Linked DNA regions of Macaca mulatta. Each later gene encodes a partner of the first gene's protein in a complex. Links are inferred from orthologs where the notes say so. Each region holds a gene or a part of one and is shown on either strand. Other genes may lie near its edges.

Evidence for each region.
Region 2: CAPZB (region 1) and CAPZA3 share a complex: the UniProt entries of both Homo sapiens proteins name them as parts of the WASH complex. The link is inferred for Macaca mulatta from reciprocal best matches to the Homo sapiens genes CAPZB and CAPZA3.

Annotation. Positions count from the first base shown.
Region 1 is NC_133406.1:221,613,029-221,620,326, reverse strand, and holds part of CAPZB (F-actin-capping protein subunit beta), read right to left. Parts: intron 2,360-7,298; coding exon 2,218-2,359; intron 1,242-2,217; coding exon 1,125-1,241; intron 1-1,124. UniProt on the Homo sapiens protein: F-actin-capping proteins bind in a Ca(2+)-independent manner to the fast growing ends of actin filaments (barbed end) thereby blocking the exchange of subunits at these ends.
Region 2 is NC_133416.1:21,194,667-21,202,576, reverse strand, and holds CAPZA3 (F-actin-capping protein subunit alpha-3), read right to left. Parts: upstream 5,132-7,910; 5' UTR 5,016-5,131; coding exon of another isoform or gene 4,892-5,015; 5' UTR 3,859-4,891; coding exon of another isoform or gene 3,848-3,858; 5' UTR 2,948-3,847; coding exon 2,048-2,947; 3' UTR 2,028-2,047; downstream 1-2,027. Other genes in the region: PLCZ1 (1-phosphatidylinositol 4,5-bisphosphate phosphodiesterase zeta-1), read left to right, coding at 3,848-3,858, 4,892-5,015. UniProt on the Homo sapiens protein: F-actin-capping proteins bind in a Ca(2+)-independent manner to the fast growing ends of actin filaments (barbed end) thereby blocking the exchange of subunits at these ends.

The DNA.
Region 1 (7,298 bases):
AGATTTACTACACTGATCCTTTCAGTCATATGTTTTCTATCCACAGCTATCGAGAGCATAGTTATCTTACTGAAAGATATCTCTGATGTTAAAAGGAATTCTCACAGTGGAAAGTCAGGGACTACTGGAACCGAGAATGGAAGGGCATCCTTGCAGAAAGTGGCGCCCCTCTGAGGCTCCCAAGGCTGTGCCGTTTCTGCCAATACCGACTTCTCCGAAGGCAGAGTGGGGTCCTTGTGAAACCCAGTTGTGCACCTGGTCTATGCTTTCTCTTCCCCCTTTACGCCAAGCATCTTGTGGCCCCGCACCAGCACAAGATTAAGGCCTTCTCTTGGGAAGGGAATGTAAAGGGTCCTGAACATGGATCCTTACACAAGGTTCTTAAACCCACCTAGATGCTTATGGGAGCATCTAAGGTAGAAGGGGAGGCAAGTTTGCTCAGGGAAGGCAGTACCTTCCAGTCCAAGTCCAAGTTTGCCTTAGACAGAACCTGGGAGCAACGTCGTGGAGAAGGGTTGCTAGAGATACCCAAACAAAAGATGGATAAGAGAGAGGTATCCAGTAGGGCACGTCTTAAATTTCAATGTGCACACACATTACCTGGAGAATTTTGTGAAAATAGAGATCCTGATATGCTAGGTCTGGGGGGGCGTCTGACATTTCTGCCTTTCTGACAGGCTCTGTGGTGATGCTGATGCTGGTCCTTGGACTGGGCTGAGGGCAGCAAGGTGCAGACACTCTGAGCTCAGGTAAGCAGCTCCCAGAGAGCTGGCCTGACTGATGGGCTGGGCATGGCCACAGAGAAGGCAAACAGAGCCAAGCACCACTTCTCACTGCACACCATGACCCGAAGCATGGGGATGTGCGGTGCCCTGAAGAGTAAGGAGGAGCCACGCCAGCACCTGACCTCCCTCAGCAGGAGGCCAGCAGAGTGCCAGCAGCTACGGGCAACCTTGCAGAGCCCAGAGAGCTTTTATTTGAAAATGCAAAGCCCTCCTTAGGTGGTGGATTTATAGCTGGCTGAACATGCTTACCCTAGGGCACCTGCTCACTCATCTCTGCAGGTCAGCGCTGAGGCCAGCACCTGTGGGCACTGGCAACTGGCTATGAGCGGGTAACTCTACCTGTCTGGTAAGGCTGCCTCCGAGGTTCATGGTGCCAGAGCCGGATTTGTTGGTCTGCAGCCACAGCATCACCGTGGAGGTCAACTTGTAATGGGCAGTGCGGCCGCTGGATTTCTCCTGGAAGGACAAGACAGAGATCTGTTGAGCTGAGGGAGAGCCTGAAGTGGCCCCTTGAATTCAGGGTCATCCTAACATCTCCCTTCCTAGGTCATTATCACAATATTACCTTTTTTTTAATTGGAGACAAAGTCTTGCTCTGTCACCCAGGCTGGAGTGCAGTGGTGTGATCTCAACTCACTGCAGCCTCCACCTCCCAGGTTCAAGCGATTCTCCTGCCTCAGCCTCCCAAGTAGCTAGGATTACAGGCACCTGCCACTAAGCCTGGCTAATTTTCTTTGTGTTTTTGGTAGAGGTGGAGTTTCACCATGTTGGCCAGGCTGATCTTAAACTCCTGACCTCCAGTGATCTGCCTGCCTCAGCCTCCCAAACTGCTGGGATTACAGGCATGAGCCACTGCACCCGGCCTCACAATGTTATCTTTCTTATAAAATCCCAACTGGTTTTTAAAGGGACATTTGTAATTGTGTATTTCTTTTGAGAACTTAATCATTAATGACTACTGTAATCTTTTTTTTTTTTGAGACGGAGTCTCGCCCTGTCGCCCAGGCTGGAGTGCAGTGGCCGGATCTCAGCTCACTGCAAGCTCCGCCTCCCGGGTTCACGCCATTCTCCTGCCTCAGCCTCCCGAGTAGCTGGGACTACAGGCGCCCGCCACCTCGTCCAGCTAGTTTTTTGTATTTTTTAGTAGAGACGGGGTTTCACTGTGTTAGCCAGGATGGTCTCGATCTCCTGACCTCGTGATCCACCCGTCTCAGCCTCCCAAAGTGCTGGGATTACAGGCTTGAGCTACCGCGCCTGGCGACTACTGCAATCTTGACTTATCTTTATCCAAATGGCTTGGAGGCATTTCTCAGAATGAGGGGTTCAGAGATCATAGCATCCCCCTCACTGCATCTGCTAGAGAGCAGCGCGGCACTGTTTGGTGTGATTCTGTACTTAGTGGCCCCGGCCACCAGCTGCTGGGAGGCGGTACCTGCACTTCTACCACGTGGATGGAATCCCAGCAGCCTTTGATCTTCTTTGATCCATCTCCAGCCTTCTTTATGAGGATCACTCCAGCAAAGCCATGATCCAGATCCCAGAGGTAGACAGATGAGACGCCGCCTTCAAAATACCTGCAGGAAACAGGCCAATGTGCCTGTTAGATGCTAAAGGACAGATAATCAGCCTGGGTCCCAGGCTGTTGCTCAGCAAAGATTCTGGGATTTAGGGTCCTCCCTGCAACAGTTATAGGAGCCGATCCTTGGGTGTGTTCTGATTGTTCTCTGGCTCGGGGAGAGGGTGCAGCATTTTTGGGGGTGTAGTAGGTTTAGGCATCATAAAGATGAACTTGAGTTTGGGCTCTGCCACCTCCCTTAGCTTTGTGGTCTTTGGTTTACTGGACCTCTCTAGGCGTCACATTCCTCCCAGATAAAGAACGCAGCACGAGTGACATCCAGTGACAATCCATGCAGGCTATGACTACTGGAGTGACCACGGTTGTTCGATATTTCTGTCTTTTGGGTTACAAGGCAGATGAGAAAATACAGCAACAAACTCCCTACACGCTGATCCCTCCTGACCAGGGCTCCAGCTGGTCTTTCGGAGCAACTTCCTACAAAGCGCTAGCCGGAAATGAAGGGCTCAGCTTGAGACAGTGCTTCCTCCTCAAATCCGAGTCCATACAAAAACATCTCTCTCTCTTTTTTTTTTTTTTTGAGATGAAGTCTTACTGTCTCCCAGGCCAGAGTGCAGTGGCACCATCTCGGCTCACTGCAACCTCCACCTCCCAGGTTCAAACGATTCTCCTGCCTCAGCCTCCTGAGTAGCTGGGATTACAGGTGTGCACCACTGCGCCCGGCTAATTTCTGTATTTTTAGTAGAGATGGGGTTTCGCCATGTTGGCCAGGCTGGTCTCGATCTCCTGACCTCAAGTGATCCACTGCATCTGGCCCAGAAACATTTCTAATTATGATCAAATGGAAGAGGGATTTCTAATTACGATCAAATGGCAGAGGGAATGAAAAGGTTAGATGAGAAATGGGAATCAGTCTGGGATCCCAAACCCAACAGACCCAGGTCAACTACTGTGGCTCGCTGGGGCTGCCGTGAGCAGAGGTGAGGGGTGGAGTCAGCTGATGGGAACTGCAAATGCTGGTGATAACCAGCGAAATCTCATTTCTTGTGGCGAAATCTGTAGCCTCTCCGACCCCAATTAAGCCCCAAAAAGAGAAATCTCATCTCTGCTGATAACCAGTGAAACTGTAAGCAATCGCATCTCTCATGGTGAGCACATCTTTATCAGGAAGTCTGGGGCCTCTCTGACCCCTATTAAGCCCCAAAGCCCTGGTGCGACAGGCGTATTCTGGGAGCACACCGCCCTCAGCCCCAGACAGCTGGGAAGGTGGGCCCAGGCTTGGGAGTCAGACGGACCCAATGACAGCTCTAGCACGCCCAGCCCCAGCTATGAGCTATGCTCACGCATGCATGCGTCCAACTGTTTACTAAGGGACCAGTGGCGTGAACATGGACTTTAGGGACTTAATCTACTTTCTATGGCTGTTGAGAGACAAACAATTAGGAAAAGTAGACACCTACCAAACGGTTAATGTAAAATTAAGTACTAGAAATTAACATGTATCTGTAGATTATGTCTCACCAAAGCTATTCTATAATAAAAAATACAGACGGTAAATGTGAATATTTACAGAATGTGGGTGATGGGTATACAAGAATTCTCTGTATTTTTTTTTTTTTTTTTTTTTTGCAATTTGACAGTAAGTCATACTGTTCCAGACTAAAAAGCTTTTGTGAAAAATCAGTACGCGAATACACCAGAGTGTAATGTAACTAAGAGACCATCAGACCAAGGAAGCAAAGCATCCTCCCAGGAGAATGAGGGTGCCCTGGCTGGTCTGCCCTCACTCCAACCCTCAGACCTGTGGAGCATCCAGGAGGGCTGATACTCAGGTGGGCTACCCTTGGCCCCGCCCCGAGGGCTCCCTCAGGCAGGCTGCAGCCAGCCCCTGCGGCAGGACCACATTCTGTCCCGTGCCCTCTGTGGCACTAACCACTGTGATTAAGCTATCAAACCGAATACACCATGGTGCGCCCACAGGCGAGTCTGCAGGAGGGCATATGAGGGCAGGGCTGCCTGGCTAACACAAGTGCCACTCAGGGAACACCTGTGGGATGGATGTGTCAGGTGCCAGATGCTGAGCTCATCACTGGTCAAACTGCACAGGGTGGGGAAGGGCCTGGCTCTGGCAAGGTGTAGCACAGGCATCCTTTCCTTCTAGAGGAAAAGGACCACTGGATGAACAGACACACCTGTGGGGCTCAGCGCTCACTGCTGGCAGAGGTGATGTCCAGGACACCGGCCAATACTGGCACTCAGAGACCCCACTCCAGAAGATCATTTCCTTTATTCCAGTCTGTCTCCAAACTCTCCCTTCTTGGGGCAAGGCGAGCTAAGCAGATGAGTGTTTTGGTCCAGGGCCCAAGGCCCCATCTGCCTCCATAGGGCCCTCCTGGTCTGGACCGGCCCCATACAGAGTTGGAGAGATCAGGCCATTCTGGAATGTTCCCGGAACACCTGGAGAGGGACTGACTGCCCCTGCTAGACCTGAGGTTTAGCAGGGCTCAGATGACTGGCAGCATGGGCTCCGTGAGCCTTTCTGGCTTATTCTCCTGGATTCTTGCAGGTTAACTTACGAGGCACACGAACACTACCGAGAGAAGAGCAACTCAGAACAGACCTGCTAATACCCTTCCTGTTGGCGACAGATGGCTTGGTTCTAGCACACGGTTTTCTCTTTCAGCCAGCTTATAGGGAGAGCAGCCCCACATCAAAAGAGGGGGAAGAAAAACAAACAAAAAAACCCTACTTTGCTGGCAAAAAGGATGGGCCAATAATTCCTTCTTTCCTTTGGCCATTCTGGAAAGAAGGCTTGCAGCCCAGGGGCATTTCATCCTTCCGCTCCTTCACAGATCCACACAGAGCTGCGGTGCTGTGCCCGCCCAAGGCTTGCTCTCCTCTGTGTGCTGGGACACTGGGGAGAGGCAGGTCAGGCTGCCCTGGAGGGGAACCAGGAGAAATCCCGATGGCCTGACACTGTCGACACCCTCCGGCGACCAGTTCAAAAGCACCAGGTGGCCCACGGCTGCTTCCCCTCAGTCCCATCCCTGAGCGTTCCATTTCTTCCAGAAAAATAAAACAACCGCATTAAAGTTTTATAGGGTGGAACTGGCCGTTTCCACTCCAACGTCCCACCCTGTGGCCTGGCTCCCACTACAGGCAGCTTCTCCTTGGCAGGCCACAGTGACCAGATCTAAAGTTTCAAATGCTGGAGCCAGGGGAGGTAAAAATGCAAGCTCAATTGTGACCTCCTTGCGGGGTTACTATTCTTTTACCCACAATTTTAAAACTTACTGCAGGAACATCATTGTTTTTTTAAAAAGGAAATCTGAAAATTAGCCCACAATACCATAAATCAACTTATCCCATAAATCTGATTTTTCCAAATTCCCTTCCAGTCCAGATGCATTTTTATATAACCGTAAGCACAGCAAGAGCACCACGCTGAATTCGGCTTTTTACATTTGGCACAGAATCATTAGCATTTTTCCATGGAGCCACATGATCTCCATAATCATTTTTAACAGCAAGGATAGTATTCAGTCGGATAGTATCCTAATTTACCGTCGATCTGACTTTTAATAAAGAAACGACGACGACAGAGTTAGAGGCGGCGTGGTTGGTCTCTCGCTTTGAATCTGTTCCCTCTCTGAATCGGGATGTTCCAGCTGAGGTGAGTCAGACGTGCTGAGACCTGGCCTCTGCAGGTACAGCTCAGACACTACAATAATTCAAGAATGGGCTTGCATTCCATTCACCAAAAGGGATCACCAGGGACTGGAGCAGCCACAAGTCTCAACCTGACATTCCGAGACAAAGGGAGCAGAGGACTGCACGGTTAGAAACGCTTGTTTCAGAATCGCCCAGAAGCACCGGCCTCTCCTGTGAGTGCTGTCGGGATGGCTCCGGGACCTTCAGGAGGGAGATGACCGCAGGGCGCACAGGCAGCGCCCCCACTACTTGGTTTATGGCTCTGCTCTGCGCGTGAAGCATTAATTAAGGAGGGACCACAACATGTTTTTGAAAATTTATTTCTTACCTACTGTACTTTGATCATAATGACATGAAACAAGGAAAAAAATAATTTTTATGTGGTTTGCATTTATGAGTTTTTACATAAAGGCTTTTGTGGGTATTTTAAGAATGTGCTAAAACGTTGTCTGAAACCACATAAAGCCATCTGAGGAGTCGCCCGCCAGAACTAACAGCACACACATGGAAGCACTTTAACTGGCCTTTGTATATTTAATGAGTCAAAAAGTATTAATATTGTTTAAATGCTAACATGCTATTTCAATAAAGTGGCTCTACCATCGCCTGCGACTCACTCTCAGGCCTCGCACATCCATGTGAGTGAATGATCAAATGTGGCCAAGCGCTAAGAGCAGGCTGCAGAGGAATTCACCCGCCCTGCCTTGGCCCCTGCCCATGCCTGATAATTTCAAAATCCCCCAACTCTGCAGGGAGGGAGGAATGGGCCCAGGACTCACTACCACAGCTCAGCTGATTTGGGCTCAAGAGGAAAAGCCCAGAGAGTCCCTGCAGTGAGGTCTCTGGTCAAGGAGGCAGAAGGAGAGCTTTTTATTTTATTTTTTTGAGACAAAGTCTCGCTCTGTCGCCTAGGCTGGAGTGCAGTGGCATGACCTCAGCTCACTGTCACTTCCACCTCCCGGGTTCAAGTGATTCTCCTGCTTTAGCCTCCCAAGTAGCAGGGATTCCAGGGGTCTGCCACCACGCCTGGATAATTGCCTTTTTTTTTTTTTTTTTTTTTTTTTTTTTGAGACAGAGTTTTGCTCTTGTTGCCTAGGCTGAAGTGCAACGGCACGATCTTGGCTCACTATAACCTCTGCCTCCCAGGTTCAAGCAATTCTCCTGCCTCAGCCTCCCAAGTAGCTGAGATTACAGGCATGCACCATCACGCCTGGCTAATTTTGTAT
Region 2 (7,910 bases), on another chromosome or scaffold:
GGCTGTATTTTAGTGCTATGAGAGCAACTTTCTTTTCTGCTTTTCTTTAGAAAGTTTGTTTCTACCTTTTTTACATGGCAAGGCCCGTCCTTGGTCTGTGCATACCAAATGCAGTAAAGTGGTAGCAATGTCCTTCATGGGGCTATGGTTTTGTGGGAAATGATTTTAATTAAGTAGAGAGAAAGCACAGGATATGCTATTTTAAGATTAGGGAACATTTCTTAAAATGTGGCCCTGAAATCTTTTGCATCAGAGTAACCTCCGATACTTGCTAAAATACAGATTTCCCAGCCTACTAAATCAGAATCCTAGGATGGGCCCTGGTAATGTGTATTTTTAAAGATAAGCCCCAGGTTATTCTCCTGAGATTCTTGAAGAACCACCAGCTGGGGAGGTTAGGTTTAGAAATTCTTGTATGGGATCTGTCGCTCCAGTGTTAATAAGTAAAATTAGAAGTGTTTTTCGATTACATAAACCCAAAATACAAATCACTTTGCTTCTTAGATAAATCAGAATTGGAGGATGGGGCCTACCTACTGCTCTACTGTAATCTTGTTAAAGAGATTTACATTTGGAATTTATTGAAAGAGCAGATACCAATGGACGATAACATTGCTAAGAATAGTGGTAGGATGAGTGTATAGGTGATTTGCTCTGGCTAGAAAACAGCTGTCACAGGTTCCATTTCTTCTGGGGTATCCTTTAAGGTGGAATCCTTGGCAAAATCAATGTACATCAGAGTCCATAACTCATAATGAAATAGGCTTCCATGGGGAACTGTTGTACCCTGAAGCATGAGTGTTAAGTCAGATACGCTTGCCACTATGTGGTATGGTCTGATTGTTTGTGTCCCCCAAAGTTTATATGTTGAAACTGAGTGCCCAAGGGGATGGTATGAGGAGGTGAGGACTTTGGGAGGTGATTGGCCAGGAGAGTGGAGCCGTCATGAATGATACTAGTGCCGTTAAAAGAAGTTCTAAAGAGCTGCTTTGTCCCTTTTACCATGTAAGGTCACAGTTAGAAAATCCTATCTATAAGGAAACACGCCTTTACTAGGCACTGAATCTGCTAGCACCTTGGTCTCGGGCTTTGCAGCCTCCATAACTGTGAGCAATAAATTCCTGTTATTTATAAGTGACTCAATGTATGGCATTTTGTTATAGCAGCACAAATGAACTGTGATACTATGTGTCTGGAAGATGTAAACAACTTGAGAACTTAGGTTTTTCTTAGGTACAATGGAGATAATACTAGTACCAGATTAGTGATGAAAAATGTTATGCAAAATATTTAGCACAAGCCATGTTATGCAGTAAGTACTTATAAGTGTTTACAGTGACGACTTCACAAGAGCTTAGCTGTAAAAGTTTGGGAAGTCAGGTTTTTCTAGTTGGCTTGGAAGACCATGTTAGTTGTCAGACAAGCCAGGGATTTTGAGTTACCCCAATTCTTGAGGGGAAGGAAGTAGAGTGGAAGAGGATCCAAAATTACTAATAGTCCTTCATGTGAGCTAGATTTTTGATATCTGTTGGTTTCGTGGAAAATCCAAACCTAATGTCATTTATTGAAATTCACCCTCTCGTGGATGGTCCAGTACTGAATTGAGTTATGTAAAATATCATTTGTGGAGTGATATTCATTTGTATACCTTTTCAGTTCAAAACAAAGTCAAAAGTCTCTCTCTCTCTTTCTCTCTCTCTCTCTCACACACACACATACACACACACACACACACACATACACACACACAGCCTTAACCCTGGCCACCTCTCTATTATTTCTGGAATCCCATATTCTATAAAACTATTTTAGTTTCTAACAAATGTCTTGGTCTTTATGATGGTCACCACCATGAAACACAGTTACTTTACACTTTCTTGCATTATTCATCAATATTCCCCGAGTAAAATTACTTGTTACACTTTTCCCATTTAAATTTGCATTGGGTAAGTGAGAGACATCTCCACAGATTGCTCAATTTTAGGAAAATAACCATTCCCCAGAAACACAAACGAGTCAAATCAAGATAGTTACCAGGAGCAATTCTTTATATTATCCAGTTGCACAACACACTTCTTGAATAAATGACATATCCTAATTTAGGATACATCACCAGATTCAAGTCAGAGAGTATCCTCTGCCAGTCAATAAGAGTGCGGGTCACTGGAAGATCCCTTCGTAGAATTTTTCTCAGGGCTTCATTGGATAACTCCTGTAATTCTTCCAAGACTGCAGCTTGAAATTTGTTCTCTTGCTCTTCCACAAGCCTTGCAAAACTTAGAGCCAGTTGAGCTTGGTTAACTATTTCCAAGCTTTCTTTCAGGTCCTTGGATATTTCAATATGAAGGTTGACACACCTGAAGAAGTGAGCTTGCACAAATATTCTTCCTGTTACTTGGGTTAGAAATGGGTTAACTTGGAAAATCCATTTAGATTTCCAAAGTCCATTCCAGCACTCTCCTGTTTCATAGTTGTGATCTTCAATACAAGCTATCAAGTACTCCTTACTTTTGACAGTTTTCCTCAGCACGTTGCAATTTCCTTTTGGATAGTGGTCATTCACATACAGTTTTAAGGCGCACAGAACAACAACTCTCAGATATTCTGTCTCATTCCGAATGATACCGTGACTTTGGATGTCTTTCAGCTGATTTTGAAGCAGGTCATATCTGAAAGAAAGTTTGCTTTGATGGTCAAAAAATCGGTAGTCGCCCATTACATTGTGGTGAGACAAGAGTACTGGATTTCCATCGATGCAGAGTGGTACAGAATATTTTTGGCAGTGTTGGTGGCCTGCACACTCACCTTGATGGTGCATAAGTTTTTCATCACGGATAAGCAGACAGAGATCATCAAAGGCATTTACAAATTCCCCTGGAGGTGCCTGTAATAACAGTCTGCGAATTACTCTTTCCTTGTCCTTCCTGCTGAGCACGCTAAGTGTCATGTTTGGTTGCAACAGAAGCAAAGCTTCTGAAATGAAGAGTGTTCAAAGGATAAGAAAACATTCCATGAGACACCTTTCCCATCAAGGTGTTAACATTGAAGCTGAAGGTTATTGTGTCTACCCATGAAAGCAGGCAGTCTAGGAAGGTCTGAGCCTCCTGATGAGGTCATAAGAAGCTTTCCTTGTGAAGTGTGGAACCTCTGATGATATCACAATGGGTATTCAGACCAAAAGGAAAAAATGACAGTCACCTGACAGTGTGGTGCCCAGCCAACCAGCTATACCTATTTTGAAGATTTTAAGAACTTAGCCTCCTGAACAGTCTTCTTCGAAAGTGGTGTGTCTCTGTGTGCATTATATGTTGTCAGGGATCTAGAGAAGCAGCCCAAAGTTTCAAGAGTGACAGCACTTTGCAACTTCAGGAATCACAATGGTGTTGATTTATACTCAGGCTCTCAGAGCAGCCACCCAAACCCACTGGAAGCACATTACATTGTGATGAAAGCTTCGAGGGGTTTAAACAAAATAGTAAAAAATAAAATGAGATACAATGGCAGTTCATGGAAAAATGCCAGACATCAGGGAAAGCTGCATTTTCAAATATTGTGGGTTTTGAGATGGTCAGAATGTAAGAAGCCAAACAGTTTCAAGGGCAGGGTAGTGCAGGTACTACATCTTGCTTACTGTTTCTACGGTGAAGTGTGAGCTAGCTTCAAAGAACAAAGGCGACAAACCACTGTGTGTTCTCTGCTTTCTCCCTAGAAAAGTGGTAACAGCTGAGGAGTATCAAGAAATTATTTTCTGCAAAGGGGCAGAGTTAATTGTATTTGGAACCCGTAACAGCACCTATTGGGGAAAGACTTCTAAGTGAGGAGAAACGGCTCTACAGGTCATGAAACTATGGAAATGAAATATCCATTGAGAGCTTCTTTCTGCCCCTCTTCTTTCTCCTGATTATCCTCTTTACTTGATGCTGTTACTCTTTTCGAAGAGTTCTGAATTTAAATCCTCTTCATTTAAGCTGAACTGCTTGTTCGATGTCTGTTCTGAGCTTTTCTAACTTTCCTTACATTCTGGTATCTTTTTCTTACAAGAAAATGAGCTTTATTTATTCAATTAAGTCATAACTATTAAATTTAAGGAGATCTCAATACATTTTAACAATCTGAAACTGAGTAGTTTTGCACAATTTTTACCTATATCTTTTATAATTTTGGTGATAATTGTCATTATCTCATTTCGATCTTAGTTTTTCAAATGGAAGTGTCCTAACTTTTGTAGTTTATCTATGATAAGTAAGCTTTAAAAATTTTTTTTTTGTTTTCTCTTTCATACCAAATATACACTTACCATGGTATTTTTGATGCTTTTTGATGGTACTTAAAATGTTACTGTCTTGAGTGTGTGTATAGCTGGGTATTTGACTAATGTAGTAATAATAACTTTATCAGTCATGGTTACTATTTATTGAACACTAAGTAGCAGAAACCGTGTTCAGTGACATATTAGGAATTCATCTAATGCTTCCACCTTCCTTAAGATTCAGGGTTAATATGATCACCTTTCTGGATTAGAGAACTAAAACAGAGAGATCAGGTGAGAGATGATCTTGAAGTCTGGTTGCCTCCCAACTTCATGCCTTCAAGCAATAGATTGTAATAATGTTTTAATGTATTTTCTAAGTAATGACTTTAATTCTCAAATTTTAACTTTAATTCTTTTTTTGTATTTTTATTGTGGTATACCCTTTCATACCTTTACTATAGCATAGTAACTACTTAATTTTTTTAAAAAAATATTATTTATCATACAATTATCCTATAACTTACTTTAAGCATATTCTTTAAAAATAAAAATAAGTACAGTAAATCAAATGTTTCTTTAGGAATTTTAAATACTCAGTGCCTTTCTATGAGAATTTCCTTAACTTTTTGTGCTTTCTACATGGTTTTTGTCGAAGATTCAGGATGACTTTAGAGGTGGAAAAATTAATCTAGAAAAAACTCAGAGGTTACTTGAAAAATTAGATATTCGGTGCAGTTATATTCATGTGAAACGGATATTTAAGGTAAGATGATATCCACCCCCTGCCTATCCTATCCTAGGAGGAACTTAATCCAATGTGAGTAAATGTCATATAAAGGTTAGTCTCTTAAGAAGAAAAACAATTAACTATACTAACTATATTTACAATCAAGATGGAGAGCATTTCGGTAGAAGGTAAAATTAGTTGTTGAGAAAATCTGAAATAATACCAGGAAATCAGTTTAGAATAATTTCCTGAGAATACAGAAATGCTAGCGTTAAACCTAGGATTGGATGTCTAACTACATCTAAATAATAACGGTAACTGTATTAGATGTTAGTGATTTATAGAATCAGTGGTGAATAAGCCGAAATTTAGCAGAAGGGAGGAAATAATACAGATTAGCACAGAAATAACTAAAATAGAAAAGAAAAAAATTAGAAGAAATTGAGGAAATTGAGACTTGTTTTTTTGAAAAGTTAAATAAAATTGACAAATACTTAGTAAGAGTATGACAAAAAGAGAGAGGACTCAAATAAATAAAATCAGAAATGAAAGTGGAGACATTACAACAGATTTCACAAAAATGAAAAACACATAGGGACTGTTATGAGCAATCATATACCATAAATTTGAACAATCTAGAAAAAAAGAGAAATTTGAAGAAACATATAACCCATCAAGATTGAACCAAGAAGAACTAGAAAGGTTAAAGAGACCAATAGCAAAAAGGAGATTGAGAGGCTGGGTGCAGTGATTCATGCCTGTAATCCCAGTGCTTTGAGAGGCCAAGGTGGGAGGATCACTTGGGGCTAGGAGTTTGAGATCAGCCTGGGTAACATAGTGACACCCTATTTGAAGACTTAATTAGTAATCAAAAACTGCCCAACGAAGAAAAGTCCAGGACCAAATGACTTCACAGGTGAATTCTACCAAAGATTTCAAGAAGAATTAATACCAATCCTTCTGAAATGCTTCTAAAAAATTGAAAAGGGAACACTTCCAGTTTTATTTATAAGGTCAACATCATCCTGATACCAAAGCTGAACAAAGACACCACAAGAAAACAAAACTTTAGGCCAATATTGCTGATGAACATAGATGCAAAATTGCCCGACAAAATAATAGCAAACCAAATTTATAGCACTTTAAAAGGATCATATTCCATGACCAAATAATATGTGTCCCTGGCATGCAAGGATGGCTCAACATACAGAAATCAATCAATGTAATATACCACCTCAACACAATGGAGTATAAAAATCACATGATTATCTCAAAAACATAGAAAAAGCATTTGACAAAATTTAACTCCCTTTCATGATAACTCTCAATAAATTGAGTATAAAAGGAACTTAACATAATAAAGTCCATATATGAAAAGCCTACAGCTAATATCACATAAAATAAACTGAAAAAACTTTTTCTAAGATCTAGGAAAAGGCAAGGATGCCCACTCTCACCACTTCTGCTCTAGATGGTACTGGAAATCCTAGCCAAAGTAATTAGTCAAGAAATGAAAATAAAAGGCAATTACACTAGAATGGCAAAAGCAAAATTATCTCTATTCACTGATGGCACAATCTTACATGTAGAAACTTCTGAAGATTTTGTCAACAAACAACCAGAAGGCCAGGTGTTGTGGCTCATGCCTGTAATCACAGTACCTTGGGAAGCTGAGGTGGATGGATTACCTGAGGTCAGGAGTTCAAGGCCAGCCTGGCCAATGTGGTGAAACTCCATCTCTACTAAAAATACAAAAATTAGCCAGGCTTGGTGGTGCATGCCTGTAATTCTAGTTACTCAGGAGGCTGAGTCATGAGAATTACTTGAACCTGGGAGGCAGAGGTTTCAGTGAGCTGAGATCGTGCCACTGCACTTCAGCCTGGGCGACAGAGCGAGAGTCCTCAAAACAAAAAAACAAAACAACAACAACAACAAAAACAACTGCTAGAACTATTAAATTCAGTAAAGTTGCAAGATACAAAATTAGCATGTAAAAATTTGTTGCATTTAAATTCATTAACTCTGAACTATCCAAAAAGAAATCAAGAAAACATTTTCACTTACATTAGCATTAAAAAATATACAATGCTTAAGAATAAATTTAACCAAGGAAGTGAAAAACTGGCACGCCAAAACTGTAAACCATTGATGAAACAAACTTTAAAAGTTACAAATAAACAGAAAAACATCCCATGTTAATATATCCGTACTACCCAAGGTGATCTACAGATTCAATGTAATCCCTACTAAAATCCCAATGACATTTTTGTTTTGTTTTTATAGGAACAGAAGAAACAATCCTAAAATTCCTATTGGAACCAAAAAAGACCCTGAATAACCAAAACCAATCTTTAAAAAAGAAATATAAAGGTGGAGGCATCACAATTTTTGGTTTCCAAATCTGTTTAAAATACTGTAGTAATTGAGGCAGTATGGTAGGGGCATAAAAACAAATATATAGACCAAAGGAACATAATAGAGGGCCCAGAAATAAACCCCTTTATATATAGTCAACTGATCTTCTGCAAAGGTACTAAAATACGCAGTGAGGAAAAGAGTAGTCTTTTCAATAAATGGCACTGGGAAAACTGGATATTTACATGTAAAAAATGAAATTGGACTCTGACCTTATCCCATACTCAAAAATCAACTCAAAGTCCATTAAAGACTTAAACTTAAGACCTGAAACTATGAAACTCATAGAAGAAAATAGGAAAAAAGCTTTTTGACATTGGGCTTGGCAAGAATTTCTTAGATATGACTCCAAAGGGATAGTAACAAAGACAGGTAACAAAAACTTGTCTAAAAATAGAAAAGTGGGATTACATGAAACAAAGTGGCTATTGCACAACAAAAGAAATAATCAACAAAAATGTAAAAGCAATTTACAGAATAAAAGAAAATATTTGCAAACCACATATCTATCTGATA